Rhinolophus ferrumequinum: one gene and its partner. Each later gene encodes a partner of the first gene's protein in a complex. Links are inferred from orthologs where the notes say so. Each region holds a gene or a part of one and is shown on either strand. Other genes may lie near its edges.

The links.
Region 2: the proteins of ITGAM (region 1) and PTN are in contact, whole or in part, in an NMR structure (PDB 8VOH), measured with the Homo sapiens proteins. The link is inferred for Rhinolophus ferrumequinum from reciprocal best matches to the Homo sapiens genes ITGAM and PTN. Residues at the interface, in NP_000623.2 of Homo sapiens: Pro273, Asp276, Arg277, Gly279, Val280, Ile281, Arg282, Tyr283, Lys306, Pro307, Arg309, Asp310, His311, Ala334, Ile335, Glu336, Gly337, Thr338, Gln339; in NP_001308315.1 of Homo sapiens: Val56, Pro57, Thr58, Ser59, Asp61, Cys62, Gly63, Leu64, Thr66, Glu68, Thr79, Lys81, Thr82, Gln83, Arg84.

The regions. Positions count from the first base shown.
Region 1 is NW_022680357.1:178,807-186,520, forward strand, and holds the start of ITGAM (integrin alpha-M), read right to left. Parts: upstream 3,020-7,714; 5' UTR 2,995-3,019; coding exon 2,868-2,994; intron 1,749-2,867; coding exon 1,643-1,748; intron 1-1,642.
Region 2 is NC_046309.1:11,293,344-11,300,871, reverse strand, and holds the start of PTN (pleiotrophin), read right to left. Parts: upstream 3,006-7,528; 5' UTR 2,628-3,005; intron 1-2,627.

The DNA.
Region 1 (7,714 bases):
TCCTGGGCGAACACCGCCACCCGAATGACCGGATTAAGCAGAAAAAAAGGCCCCAGACACCATGAAGCTAAACACGTTCTATCCCACAGCCACCTTGCGGCGATGGCTTTGGGTCCTGCTTCTTGGGCCCACACTTTTACCTCTGTTTCACCAAAATCTCTCTCTCCTTATCTAGGAGCTGAGGGGACACAAGTGATGCCCCAGCAAGACTTCCAGTACATCCCAACCGAAGAGGTCAACAGGGCCTTTCGAGCCGTCTCGAGACCCCTTCCCCTCCTCGAACATCAGATAGGGCGAGAGTCCCGTGAATCCCCAATACGCAGGGACAATGGCCACAGTCAGCAGGAGGCAGATACAGAAGAGGCAATCTCCTGTCCCTCAAGTTCCCACAGATTTATGGGGATCACATCTCTCCAGGGGGACATAAGGCAGGCAGTTAGAGATAGGAATTGGGTCTCTGAGACGCCCGCCCGAACACATCAGGTAACATTCCTGCACGTCCAACATGGCCTAGGACCGCCCAGACCTCTCCTTTAGCTACTATAACCACCATGAACCACTGGGAGGGAGTTCAAGGATACAAAGCACCCAACTAGATTAAACAGGCCACTCACACCTAGGCCACAGTGACCTTCATTTCACCTGGGCCTCATTATACCATCATTATAATATCATGCATTTGCCCGGAAGTTCATTAATATCATTATAACAGACTGAATTCTGGGAAGGAACATGCACAGTCTAAAAAAATGAGATAATCGCCTCTTGTCAATCACAGGTGTCAATCAAGTGATCCCACACCCAGAAAGGAACAGCCCATTCTGGAGAAAAGAAAAGAAAAACTCCAAGTCCTCGCCAGTCGGCTCCTTTTGAGCCACTGTGTTGCCCGGCCCGATCCCGACCCCATCTCTTTGGAGTGTACTTTGGCTTCTAATAAACTGCTCTCTTACACTGCCTTTTGGTGTCCCGCTCAATTCTTTGTTTGGGATGCCAAGAACCTGGACACCACACTGAGAAGAGTCTGCTCTCCAGTAACAGAAGCATAAAAGTAAGCTCTTTGTGCACTTATCTGGTAAGATTACCGAGCTCTACTAAGAAAACCAAATGCAAAGGACCGTATAGAACAGAAACCAGCAAACTTTGTCTGCAAGGATACTACTATTTCCATAAATATTATTTCTGTAACGGTAAATATTTCAGGCCATGCGGTCTTTGTCACAACCTCTTGATTCTGCCATTGTAGCACCAAAGCAGCTGGAAACAATAAATGATGAGTTGGGGCACAGAGTTGGAGGGGTGGGAATAATAAAACGTTATTTACAAAAATAGGCAGCAGCATAGTTTAAATGTAACATGTGCTACAAATTGTGTGTGGGCTGGGGTTGGGGAAATGTGGACGTCTGCCCAGCAGAGACCCTCTCTGGAAGAATGCACAGAAAAACCCTCCTAGGACGGGAACTGGGGAAAGCAGTGTGGAGGATTTTTCACTGCTAGACTCTTGTGTCTTTTGAATTAAGAACCCTGTCATTGTATGACCTATTCAACACTAGATCAAGGAAAATAAAACAACATCAAGGAAATTACGTTTTCTTTCTGATACGCAGGTCTTAGAGGGAAAGCCTGTGAGACACGCAGCCCTTACCGGGATCCCTCAAACTGGACCACACTCTGCCCGAAGCTCCTTGTGTTCGCTTGAAAGATCTTTGCGTTTTGAGTGTCCAGGTTGAACCCATGACACAAGCCCAAGGCTGGAAGAAAAAAAGGAATGAGGATCAGGTGCCGGTGGGGACGTAGTTAAGAAAGCAGCTTGTCCATCTTCCTGGCAGGATTCACCCTAACCCAGCACAGAGATGTCTGCTTCCCAGATCCAGTTCCAATGGCCTGGGGCAGAGGTCAGTGCACTTTTTCTCTAAAGGGCCAGAGAGTAGATATTTTAGACCTTGGGAGCCAACGACCTTGGGGGACGTAATATAACAAGAGAGAAAATGTGTTTCCAGAAATTTGTCATTAAGGAAATTCAAAATATAATAATTGAGCTCCCCCCCTTTTTTATTTGTAATTACAAATTTGCTAATAAGACCAATGGAATTCTTTGGGGGGGGATCTAACATTTCACTTCATTGGGATTCCAAATTAGTGTGCCCAGTCACAAATCGATTACAAGTGTGCACCTGCAGCCTGTGGTTGCTCTCAGACTGTACAGAAACAGGAGGTGCAATCCCTGCCTCATGCCCCCAGGACAGTTTTGCCACCACTACCACTGGTGCTTCCAGCCCCCCGCCGAGCTCCACTGTTGACCTGACCAACAAACAAGTTCCTAAACCCTCCCAGTTAGGCAATTTCCTTCCTGTGCAACTCACAAGCATTTCTTTTCCTTCTTTGACCCATTTACCACAAGACACAGGCATATAAGGAAGTAATGTCATTATGAGTGGTCAGTCATTCGACAAGCATTCGTACCAGGGTCCTTGAAAAATAGAAGTGGAGGCAAAGTGGACGTGGAACCCAAAAAGAAACACTCAGAAAGGAATCTGGTACTGGCTGCACACCCTGGGGCATGTCATTTCATCTCTCTAAGCCTCAGTTTCCTCATCTGTGACATCAAGGGGCCAACCGAACCCCCTCAGATCAATCGCCCATGAATTTAGCCGTTCACCTGGGCTTCTCTGGTCATGCCATCTTGGGCTAGCTCTGCTCTGCGCTCCTACAGGACTCCCTTATCCCGCCCCAATTCGCTTTATCTCTCCCCAGTGTAACTCCTAGATATTCTACATCCCTTCTAGATATTCTACTTGTGAGTAGAGACTCACAGTCTCAAAAGTTTTCCTCATCATCACGTAAGCCCCACCCTCAGACCCCTGGCCCACCTGTTAACAGAAGGACTCGGTGAATCATAGCTGAAAGGAGCAGGAATCCCGGGGCTGCAGGTGCCACGGAGCCACTTGAAGAAAGCCAGCAAGGACAGAAAAAGAGAACTAGAAAGCAGGAATACATTAGAGGCTCAAAGGAAGAAGGCGGAGGCTCAGAGAGCACACAGCACAGCTTGACCATCCCCCCGGGGCTGCCACAGCTTATGCTTCCTCTCTCCCCAGCGTCCGAGCCCAAACCACCACGGTCACTATTTCAAAGGTGTTGCTTGTTTGTCCACCTGCTTCCAGGGTTGGCCAAAGCATCATGAAAAGCCAGCTGCATAGATGGAAGGGCCTGCGTCCTGGAACATGTACTCTAAACATTAATTCAGACCAAGCAAATGTGGGAGATCACCCTCTGTGTCTCCCTGGAAGCACACTTTACAAAGTCTCTTTCCCCCCTGCCCAAGGAAACAGGAGAACCCTTCAGCCAGAATTGCCCTCCTTTGTAGACTTCAATACGGACAACTCCGGTACAGAGAAACCTAGTACTTTTGGAATAATATTTGTGTTTTTTAAAGCCTCAAACCCTTGGAAATTGCCCAGGAAATTTCACTTTCCAGAAGTTATCCTAAAAAGTCGCTGAGATGTACAGTCGAACATGGACGCCTAAGCTTGTGCTTTGCAGCATTGCTATTAATAGTGAAACATTAGAATGGCCTAAAAATCCAACAACAGAAAAATGGTTGAGCGATGTCTCACCCTGTGATATGTCCTTACCTTCCATCTAGTGACTTCAAAATCTGTTTCAAAGACACAGGAGCATACTTGAAATACATAGAACGCCAAACCATACCTTGTATCCCTCCAGTCCAATGTCAGAAAGCTGAGCGTGCGTTCCAGGAGCAGCTCGCATCCAGCTTTCAGCAGCAAGGGTGGGCAGTGAGACCTCACCCCCAAAATATTGGGGGTAGTGCTCTGTTGATTGCAGCTCCTGATCTCAGAAGTTCAAGCACAGAGGTGAGCAGCCATTGTTGAGCCCATCTCATTTTGAAAGCCTCTCCACCTCTGGCTGAAGCAACTCCCAGGGGATTTAAAGGCTAGCGCTTCCCCCCCTAATAAGTTCTTAAGACCTTAAGATCCCGGGCTGATCCCTGGCACAAAGACAGCCTATAGCAATAAAAATAAAATAACAGCAAACCCTGGGAAAGGAGAATAATCTGATTTTGTATTATTAGATTTGTTTGCCTAGTTTCCAACAACAACAAAAAAATCACAAGGCAATCCAAGAAACCAATTGCCTTTGATTGCCAATCTTTGAAAGCATGGCCCATTCAAAGAAAAAAAAACAAAAAGAAAACATTCCAGAGAAAGACCAGATGGCAGACTTACTAGAAAAGTACTTTAAAGCAACTCTCTTAAAGATGCTGAAGTAACTAAAGGAAGACACTGAGAAAGTCAAGAAAATGATGTACGAACAAAATGGAAATATCAATAAAAAGGATACCTAAAAAGAAACCAAAAGGAATTTCTGGAGCTGTAAAGTACATTAACTGAAATGAAAAATTCACTACAGGGATTCAAAGGCAGGTTTGAGCAGGCAGAAAACTGACTCAGAAAACTTCAAGATAGGACAATTGCAGTTCCTGAGTCTGAGAAATAGAAAGAAAAAAGATTGAAGTGAAAAGAGCCTAAAGGACCAGTGGAACACCATCAAGCTGACCAACGTACACATTGTGGGAATGCCAGAAGAGAGAAAGAAAGTGTCAAAGAGATTATTTGAAGAAATGATAGCCGAAAAGTTCCCAAATTTTATGAAAGACACGAATACAAATATTGCAGAACCTCAACAAAGTCCAAGTAAGATGAACTCAAAGAGGCCCATACCAAGACATATTATAATAAAACCATCAAAAGACAAAGACGGAGAGTCTTGAAAGCAACAAAAGTGAATGACCACATATTAGGGATCCTCAACCTGATTTCTCATCAGAAACTTGGAGGCCGCAAGGCAGTAGGCTGATGGACTCAAAGTACTGGGGGGAAAATATCAACCAAAAATTCTGTATATGGCAAAACTGCCCTGCAAAAGTGAGGGAGAAACCAAGATATTCCCAGATAAACAAAACCTGAGGGAGTTCGTTACCACTAGAACTGCCCTGAAAAAAATGCTAACGGGATTCCTGCTGGTTGAAATGAAAGAACACGAGACAGAAACTGGAAGTTGTATGAAGAATAAAAGATCTCAGTGAAGGTAAATACACGAATTATGAAAGTTAGTATTATGTATTGTAACAATGGTGTGTAACTCCTCTTTTATTTTCTACACGATTTAAAAACTTTTTAAAAACTATTCATTTTTAAGGCATTTTTTTTTTAAAAACGATTAGTCTAAAAGCTAGTAGTATTGTAGCTTTGGTTTGTAACTCCACATTTTGTTTTCTATATAATTTAAGAGACCAATACATTTTAAAAAAACAATTATTCATCTACAGTTTTGGTCACACAATGTATAAAGATGTAATTCTGTGGCATAAATAACTAAAATGAGATGGGGACGGAGCTGTATAGGAACAGAGGTTTGTATGTCATTGAAGTTAAACAGATATAAATTCAAATTAGAACGTTATAACTTTAGGATGAAGTTATAAATGAAAGTTATAAATGAAGTTATAAATGAAATCCCGATGGTAACCATTAAGAAAATAAATAAACAATATACACAAATGGAAATGAGAAAGGAATTACAATGTCTCACTGCGGAAAAAAGAAAAACTAAACACAAAAGAAGACAGAAATGCAGGAAATGAGAGCGATAAAAGTTATAAGGCATGTCAGAAATTAATAGCAAAATGACAGAGGTAAATCCCCCAACCTCTTCCCCTCTGGAAACCACCGATCCAACTCATAGATTCAAACAGTTTATTACTTACGTCGACGGCAAAAACAAATTTCCCACGGTTCTTTGCCCAGCAAAAAGGATGGCATCAGAATAGGGGTGCTATGGGCCGGCCTGGTGGCTCAGGCGGTTGGAGCTCTGTGCTCCCAAGGCTGCCGGTTCGATTCCCACATGGGCCAGTGCGCTCTCAACCACAAGGTTGCCGGTTTGACTCCTCGAGTCCCGCAAGGGATGGTGGGCAGCGCCCCCTGAAACTAAAATTGAACATGGCACCTGGAGCTGAGCTGCGCCCTCCACAACTAAGACTGAAAGGACAACAACTTGACTTGGAAAAAAGTCCTGGAAGTACACACTGTTCCCCAATAAAGTCCTGTTCCCCTTCCCCAATAAAATCTTAAAAAAAAAAAAAAAAGAAAAGAAAAGAAAAGGGAGGCTATAATCTAGACCAACAGACAACGCAGTTTTAGTCTATAGTTCTATTGGTGATGGCCCCAGAGCAGCTCCTCACAGGCACCCGCACCCCCACCCCCACCCCACCCCGTTCTCTCTGTTCTGGGAAGGTCACAGGTATTCTGCCAAACCTCAGACGATCTGTGGTCAAACCTTTGCTTTCGTGGCTGGTGTGGTAGCACCGGGGGCCAGGGCTCCATGGCAGAGCTGTTCCTCCACATTCAGCAGATGGCAACCACGACTTTCCACTTAGTCCCAAAGTCTCAGGAAATCCTAGGGCACTACCTTCTAACCAGCCTCGCTATTAGCAGAAGTGTGGAAGCCACCCCCATGCCACCTGGACTACGGCTTAGCCCTTTCCTGTGCCCCACTGTCTCTCTACTCCGCCCCCGCCAAGTCAGTTTTCAGCACAGTAGCCAGAGGGATCCTTCTAGAACACAAGCCATATATTGTTCCTCTGCTCAAAACCTTACAAAGTCTCCTTGCCTCACGGGGAGCAAGCCAGCCCTTTCCACAACCGATAAGGCCCTGTGAGACCTGCCACCATGGCCTCCCTGAGCTCATCTTTTCTTTGACCCCTTGCTCCTTCTATTCCAGCCATGCTGGCCTCCTTGAGGCTCCTCAGACATGCCAGGAACACTTCCATCTTAAGGCCATCACACTGGCTGTTCCCTTTGACTAGACTGTTTTTCCCCAGGTATCTGCATGGCTCACTCCCTCTCACCTCCTCCAAATATGTGGGTTTTGTATCACAGGACTCTCTATATTCAACTTCACAAACCCTTTCTTGCCATGTTTCTTCTCCCAAATTTCTCTGGCTTTGCCCTCAAAATAATGAAGGTGGTAGGGTCTCCGTCATCTCCCTTTGCCCCACGTGGCACCCAGGATCATGACTTCTCTCTTCCCAACACAATCTCCCAGACCCACCTGTCCGAATCTCTGTCCCTTGGCTACACAAACAATTTACCTCTGTCTCAATACCTCCAATTTGTTTGACCCACACACGATCTAGCCCCCTGGGAAGTACAAATAACAAAATATTGTTTTTCCATTACACCGAATTGCCAGTCAAGTTTTCACCCGAATATCCTTCTCAGCAATCTAGTTAAGGCTTTGGGGTGATAAAAGTGAACTGGCATCTTAAAATGCTCAAACCACAGAGCTGTGAGGACTATGGGTGGAGCTGGGCCCCTTGTTGACTCTTTGATCCTGACTTCCGGTTGGACTTTGTGGTACCTTCCGGGGGAGGGATGCTAATAAATAGAATAGCTGTCTTGGAACCGGGTTATTCTTCTTCACGTGGGCAGTCAGCTGGAGCCCCAGGTGGGAGGTGTGTATTCCCGCACTGCAGAGGTGGTTTTTGTTTCTTTTTCTTTTCCCGAATAAACCGCTCTTTGGGTGGATTTTCTGGTGAGTCATTTTTGCCAGTCGACAGGAGTCTGGGGCCAGACTACAAGGGGGTTAAAATCCTACCTCTGTGATTCTTGAGGACGTGATTCTCTGTATCGCACTGTCT
Region 2 (7,528 bases), on another chromosome or scaffold:
CTCCAGGGTGAACACACCTTAAACAGCACTGAGGAGCACTCAGGTGTCAGACGCTTTTGCTCCCTCATCACCCTGGGGGGCGAGGTCTCTGTTTGGACACTGCCTTCAAGAGAGAAGTCAAGAACAGCTCCCCTTATCGCGATGCCACCATATCAAAAAGCACAAGTGTTGGGAGAACTAGAACTGACATTCTGAATTCTGCCTTCTGGCCCTCCATCTACTGTTAACTTACTGCACTGTTGTGAACAAGCCAAGGAAACTCAGTCTCCTGAGAAGAGTTTGATTAGTAACAAACACACCATATGCCAAATAGGAATAGGATCAGAATGCATGCGAGGATGTCATTTAAATGAGAAAGCAAGAGTATCTTCAAAGGGGGGGAATTTAGCTTAAAATATTTAATTTCTAAGATTGATTTTAGTGATAAAAACGATTAAACTATTTGGGGACTTTACCTCTCTCGTCAGGTTGTTTCCAAAGATTAGGTTTTGTGAAAATTCAAATGAGGCTATTGACTTACTGGAATGAAAAAAAAAAAAAAAGAAAATGTGGGCTTGCCATATGCAAAGATTAAATAAGGTACATGATGGAAACTTTCAATACATTAGTAAATTGATTACTCCAAACGTCATGGAAAGAGGTCTCGGAAACCACACAAGTATGTAATATATATGTTATACTATGCTTACTGTTAAATGAGATTCTCATTTAAATACCTCATTTAAAAATTAGATAATAAAAAGTGACCTGGTAACAGTAGTTTCATTTCTCTCCCAGCTCTAGATTTGAAAATATAATACAGTTGTATTCACAAATGCGCAGCTGCAATACAGCACCTAGTGTGCTCTGTATGGCTTCAGGTGGGCGGTCCTAGTAGACGCCCTTCCCTAAATGAGAAAACTGTCCTAAAGCAGGCCTGGGAACAGCAGGAGAGGGAAGATTACCTCCTGCAGATTTAGAGTACAATTACAGAATTCGAAGCACACACGTTTCCTAAAGCATAGAATAATGGCAGTAATCATGTTTAAATAAAATAATACAAAATTTCATCCTCTACTTTAAATGAGAAAATACCAGTCTTGCCACTCTGAAATAACTCATGTCCCAAAGGCGGGGGAAGAGATACTATCCACTCTGATTTCCTTTGACTGGAACTAGATGGTAAATGTTTTTCAGTGATTTGGTCTTTAAAGTACATAATTGACTTTAAAAGGTGCATAACGAAGATGGAAAACACAAGTTTGATTTTCTGTGCTGGGAGATACTCCCATGACCTTGTAATATTTCTACCTATCAATTCATGCCCAGATGGTCAGGGGCGAACTGGGCTCCACTGTTTCATCAAGTCCACATTTTCCCAGGATCGTGAAATAGCTTCATGATGTTATCAGTTCAAAAGCTCTGAGTCTCCTCCCAGGCCCTTCCCTCCAACACACACACACACACACACACACACACACACACACACACACACACACACACACACCCTTTGCTCAAGCTGCTACAGCAAAACGCCTGCTACGTCGAAAGATGCTCAAAGACTGGGGCTTGGTGTCCTTCATATTGTCCCTGCTCTCCTCTCAGGGCCACCCCTCCCCCCAAATGCCACTCCTAGTTTTTTCAATGCATCCCCAAATTTACAAAGCAGTTGTTAACAGAGATAGGGGTAAGTTAACAATAGAGTGTATATAAACTTGGTGTGTGTTCTTTCTTGAGTTTGTATGTGTTGTGTTAAGGACAAAGGTGTGTGTGTGTGTGTGTGTGTGTGTGTGTGTGTGTGAGAGAGAGAGAGAGAGAGAGAGAGAGAGAGAGAGAGAGAGAGAGAGAGAGAGAGGAAGTTTTATGTTCTGTTGTTCTGTGTATTAACTAGGGAAGGAGTTGAATACATTCCTCTCTTTAAAAATATTTTTCTTAATAGAAACATCAACTCAGAAACTAAGAACCTGAAATTAGTGATAAATATACCCTAGCTTTAGGTGGATGAAATAAAAAGTTCAAATGCCTGTGTACAGGGCAGTTATTCAAATTAGCATCCAAATGGGAGATGGGGTTAAAGGTGTGTCTTTTCAACTTTGGACGTATAATCATTTCTAAACCCATTCCTGGGCTGGCAGGCAGGACAAGGAGTGCTAGATGCTTCGTGTCCGCTGGCACTGGGAGGAACCAGCCCCCATATGGAGTCTAGAAATGCCAGCTAAGAGTCACCAGCCCGCAAGGCGACCAGAGAGCAGAGAAAGGATGGGGAAAGGAGGCCTGCTTGCCCAGGTGCCTTACTTTCCCTCTCTTCCCTACCCAGCCACAGACACACCTACTTAGGCAGGTTTTACAAAGAGTGAAGCCCCTGCCATCTCCTCCAGCTGGTAGCAGGAACACTGGACAAATGCATGCGTGCCTTCCACTCATTTCTGGGCACCCTAAGTCTCCTGACCTGACTCCCCCAAAATATACCTCAATTTGCCTCCGGAGCAAATCAGTTCTGAAAGCAACCGCATCAGGAAAGCCACCAAGGCAGCCAGCGTCTCTCCCGCTCCTACCACCATCATCTGCTGGCGCCTCGAAAAGTGGCAGGAGGCGAAGGAAACTCGATGGGATTCACCTGGGAGACTCGCGCATCCCTTTGCACTTACTTTGAGTTGCAAACGTGCTTTCTGCGCTCAGGCTGCCTTTGTTGTTGAAAGGGGCGAGGTTTGCTGCTGGGGTCCAGGTACCCGAGTCGCTGCGGCTGGCGGCGCGGTTGCTGCTCCTGGCCGGTGACTCACTGGCCTCTTTCTTCCCCTGGCTCCACTTTGGGGTTTCCTCGACTCTGCGACTCCCTTGGCGGGATTTTCGGATTGGAAGGCGGGGAACCTGATCCTGCCTTGGACTCAATTCCGCCCCGCCAGGGAGGGAACGGAAGGGAAGTGGAGAATGGGAGGGCTGAGCAGAGCGGGCTGGGAGAGGACGCAGGCCCCGCGAGGGAGGGAGCGCGCCTTGCCCTCGCGAGCTGATTGGGAAGCTTATTAAAAGCAGAATTCTCCAGGGGCAGGCGCTCCCCGCAGGAGCACGCTCACCGATTTGAACCGAGAGGCCAGGAATGGAACCTGGCTTTGTTTTTAACAGAGATCGACACACTCTTTCTTTTTCCAACTTTCTGCAAGACCTGTTCTTTAGGTGGGTGCACCAGGCCAGTTACTCAAGTGGGGCATCTCAAATGGACGATCGATGGCATTTTAGGTGATAAGATTGGCCCCGATGTTTAAAAAATGATATTCAGAATTTAAAAGCACAATCTTCAAAACCATCCTCTCAGTCCTCCCCTCCCCCAAACGCCCTCCCTACACATAGTTCCAGTGACTTCAGCTGTCAGTCCTGTCCCACCTGCAAGTCACAAAACGTGCAAAGCCCGGTGGTGCGCCTGTCACAGAGTGACAGATGTCTGAGAGTTCCCAATTAAATGCTATTTTCCTTTACGGGGCTTTTTCCTTTTTTGGCTTCCTTGGTGCCTTTGGGGACCTATTTAGTGACATGCCTTTGACACCCAAGAATTTAGGGAATTAATCAATGTAGTTCAAACTCGGCAGTGGGGATAGCGGAGTGGGGTGGTAAAACTCAGAGGCTGGGCTTTAAGGCTTTCTGGAGTTTCCATTTTGTTCAAATGAGGAAAGATGCTTAGGTAATACAGCTAGGATTGTTGAAGTAACACAGAGATGGATATTTATGATATAGATGAGATAAAAGCAGTGTGTCAAATGATTACACAAATTACCCAAACATTGTCAAAAAGTAAAGCTTTTGCGATTTTCTGCCACTTGTCAGGTCTTTCTTTCATCTTGCTCCTTTCACTTCCTTTCAGCTTATCATTTGATGGCACCCACCCCAAAAGTGATGGCAAAATATACTTCTGTTTCCCATAGATCTAAGGTCGCATCCCTTCATTGCAGTTTTACAAATATCTATTAAGTGCCTTGTATAATTCTTTTTCTATTATTTTTTTTAATTTGTATTACAGTTGACATCCACATTGTTAGTTGCAGGTGGACACCATAGCGATTAGACATTTATATAACTTACGAAGTGATCAGTCAAACTAAAGATAACATCTTGAACTCAGTCATGTTTGAGCTCCAGGCCCATGAAGGCAGAAGGATCCTACCGGCCGCATCCCCTCAGAACCAGACAGACAGACGCCACGACTGACACCAGGACGTGATCCCATGATCAATTGCCTCCTACCCAGCCCCGACCAAACAGTAGAGCCCACGACCCCAGCTCCCTTAGGTACCATGACTGATGATCTTTCCCCTGTATAACCATCCCCTAGAGGCCATCGGGGAGCCAGGTCTTTGAGCAGTAGCTCACCTATGTCTCTGGGCTTGGTGCCATTTCCTTAAGTAAACTTTGACTTTCTTTGCTGCAAACCCATGTTCGTGTCTCATTCGGTTTTGATGCACGTAGGCAAACGAACCCCCTTTAGTTCGGTAATAGCAGAAACTCAGTGAGGGGAAGTAGGCATCTAGGCTAGAGAAGTAACAGGCCAGATCACGCTCGGCCTTTGTTCACTGTAAGGAATTCCACTTTTATTCTGAATGAGGTGGGAAGAAGCCATTAAGAGTGACAGAAACGGACTCTGCTTCAATAGGGTCTCTGCTATGATGACTAGAACACAGGCGAGCAAAAGTAGAAGCAGAGATTTCAGTTAGGAGGCTGCAGTTATTCATTGTCTAAACTTCTTCCCCTTGTCCCTGTTTCTTGTAAAGAATAACTAACTCCAAACTTGCCCTTTCACACTTTCTCTGTCCCCGAAACCTCCTGTCAGCAGTTTCTTGGCTTATGCTAAGGCTCCCCTTGTTTTCCAGTTCCCAGCCTCTCCAGGTGTAATGAGCCCCCAGCATGCGTGTTACGAGGCTAAAATATAACTAATGCAAGATGATTTGAAATCACAGAAATTATAACATGTCCTAAGGGTGTTGTGAAAATGAGGTCGCTGATTTTGCAGTGACAAATACAAGGAGAAGTGTGATCAGCATGAAATTTAAAAATGTGAAAGAATCAGATGAAAACTTTGTCAGCATGTCTCTTGGGCTGCCTACTGGCAAGATGTTTAGATTCTTGACTACCACTCCGAGTTTTTCAATATTCCTGGAATGCAAAAGGACAATTCATCCAACTTACACAGCTGGATGGAAGTTCCATTAATACATTTCTCTTCCTCTCTCAGAAATAGTTCAAAAGTAATTAAAAAAAAAACACTCATACTTTTTTTTTTTTTATTGCTGTGACTAGATTACAAAACTTCTATCTTTGGTAATATTTGTAATGATTATGCTATTTTTTATTTAAAAACAAAGAAACAAAACAGAAAATGCCACTAAGAACAGTTTAAATAAGTAAGGAATTTGTCTCACAGCAACACAAGCCAGTAAAGTCAGTGTTTCCAAGTCTTCAAGGACCCAGATCTTTCCATCTTTTGACTCTACATTTTCAATTTGTAAACCCAGGCTCTTCAATATCATTTAAAGAGCTTCACCCATATTTGGCTTAAAGTAAATCAGGCCCAAACCTCCATGGAGACTAGGTCAGTTCCCTGGTCATGGAGCCACAGACTATCCCAGCAAAAGGAAGAGGTAAAAAGTATTTGGGAAGCAACCAACAATGCCGGCCACCATTTCTCCCTGATATTTTATAAATGTACACTTTATCAGTCTTTCTTTTATGAATCTAAGTAGCTTGATGTAAGCCCTTCAATCTTGTCTTTCTTGTACAAAACTGCTCACATCAAGGTTCTAAATTTGCAAGGGCCTCGGACAATGGGCTTACCCAGACTCACCCAGCAAATCAGGCCTAAAATACCCAAAGAAGTTTGATCACACCTTACAAGGAAACAAAATCCACAGACCCAATGTCCCTCCTGAGCATAGAAGCAGAATGCTTTAACAAATTTAATTAAATCAATGCCAGTAATGTATTAAAAATGTAATACTGTACATCATCACATTGGCTGTTTGTCCCTCTGTTGCAAGTCTGGTTGTACACATGGAAAATCAAACAATGTAATTCACCATATTGACAGAGTAAGTAGAGGAACAAAAGGAACATATTAAATATATAGGAAAATATTTGAAAAAAAATCCAACACCCATTCGAGATAACAATTCTCAGTGACTTAAGAATATAAATGAATATCCTTGTTCTGATGAGGCATATCTGTGGAAAGCCTCCAGCTAATATGACACTTAATAGTGACAGTGAAAGCTTTCCATCTAAGATTAGGAACCAGGCAAGAATGGCCACTCTTACCACTTTTATTCAATATTGTACTGGAGATCTCAGCCAGTAAAATAAGGCCAGAAATTAAAAGAAATAAAGGAGGCTGCAGTAATCCATTGTCTAAACTTCTTAGACAATGGAAAAAGAAATAAAATAAATAAAAATAATGGAAGGAAGATGTACAACTGTCTTTATTCTCATATGAATAAGTATGCTCATAGAAAATTGACAGGAATGCAAAGGAAAGCTTCTGGAACTAATGTGCCTTCAGCTAGACACAAGTTCAAATTATAAAAATTGATTTTATGTTTATTTCTAGCGATGAACGATTGGAGAATAAAATGTTAAAAATTATATATCAAACTCATAAACTACTTGAGGGATAAATTTAACAAAATATTTTGAAGGCTTATCCACTGAAAAATGCCAAATATTTCTTACGGAAGTTATAGTACTTTTAAAGAAATGGGAGGCTCATTATGTTCATCAATTGGAAAATTTAAGATTGTTAGGATGTAAATTCTCTCCATATTTATCTGTAGAGTCAATACAATCCAAACCAACCCCTTTAGACTCTTTTATAGAAATTAACAAATTGATACCAAAATTTCTCTGGCAATGCAAAGTATCTCAAATAGGCTAATCATTTTTTCAAAATAAAGAACAAAGTTGAAGGATTCACACGCTTGTATCAGGTCCTGCTGTAAAGAAAAAAGAATGAAGAATATTGTGCAATACTGGCATAAAGATAGACTTATGAGTCAACGGAGAAAAACGATCAATTCACACATAGACTCAAACATATTTCAGAGAGGAAAGAGTAGCCTTTCCAGCGAATGGTCCCAGAAGAACTGGATATCTCTATGGAAAGGAATAAACTTTGACATCATAGTGAAAAATTAACTCAACATGGCTCAGAGACCCAAATGGAAAAGCAAATGCTATGAAATTTCTAGAAAAATAGTAGGAGAAAATCCTTGTTACCTTGGAGTAGGCAAAGATTTCTTAGATAAGGCATAAATAACACCAATGGTTATTAAAACATTGGCAAACTGGACTTCATCAAAATTAAAACTTTGCTCTTTGAAAGTCATCATTAAAATATAATAAGAAAGCAATCCTGAGAATGCACAAAAATATTCTCAAAATACACATGTGACAAAAATTGTGTCCCAGGATATTGAAGGGTCCATATAACTCAATAACCAGAAGTCACTCTATCCAACAAAAAAGAATCACCAAAATGTCGCAACAGACACTTCACAAAAGAAAACACGTAAAT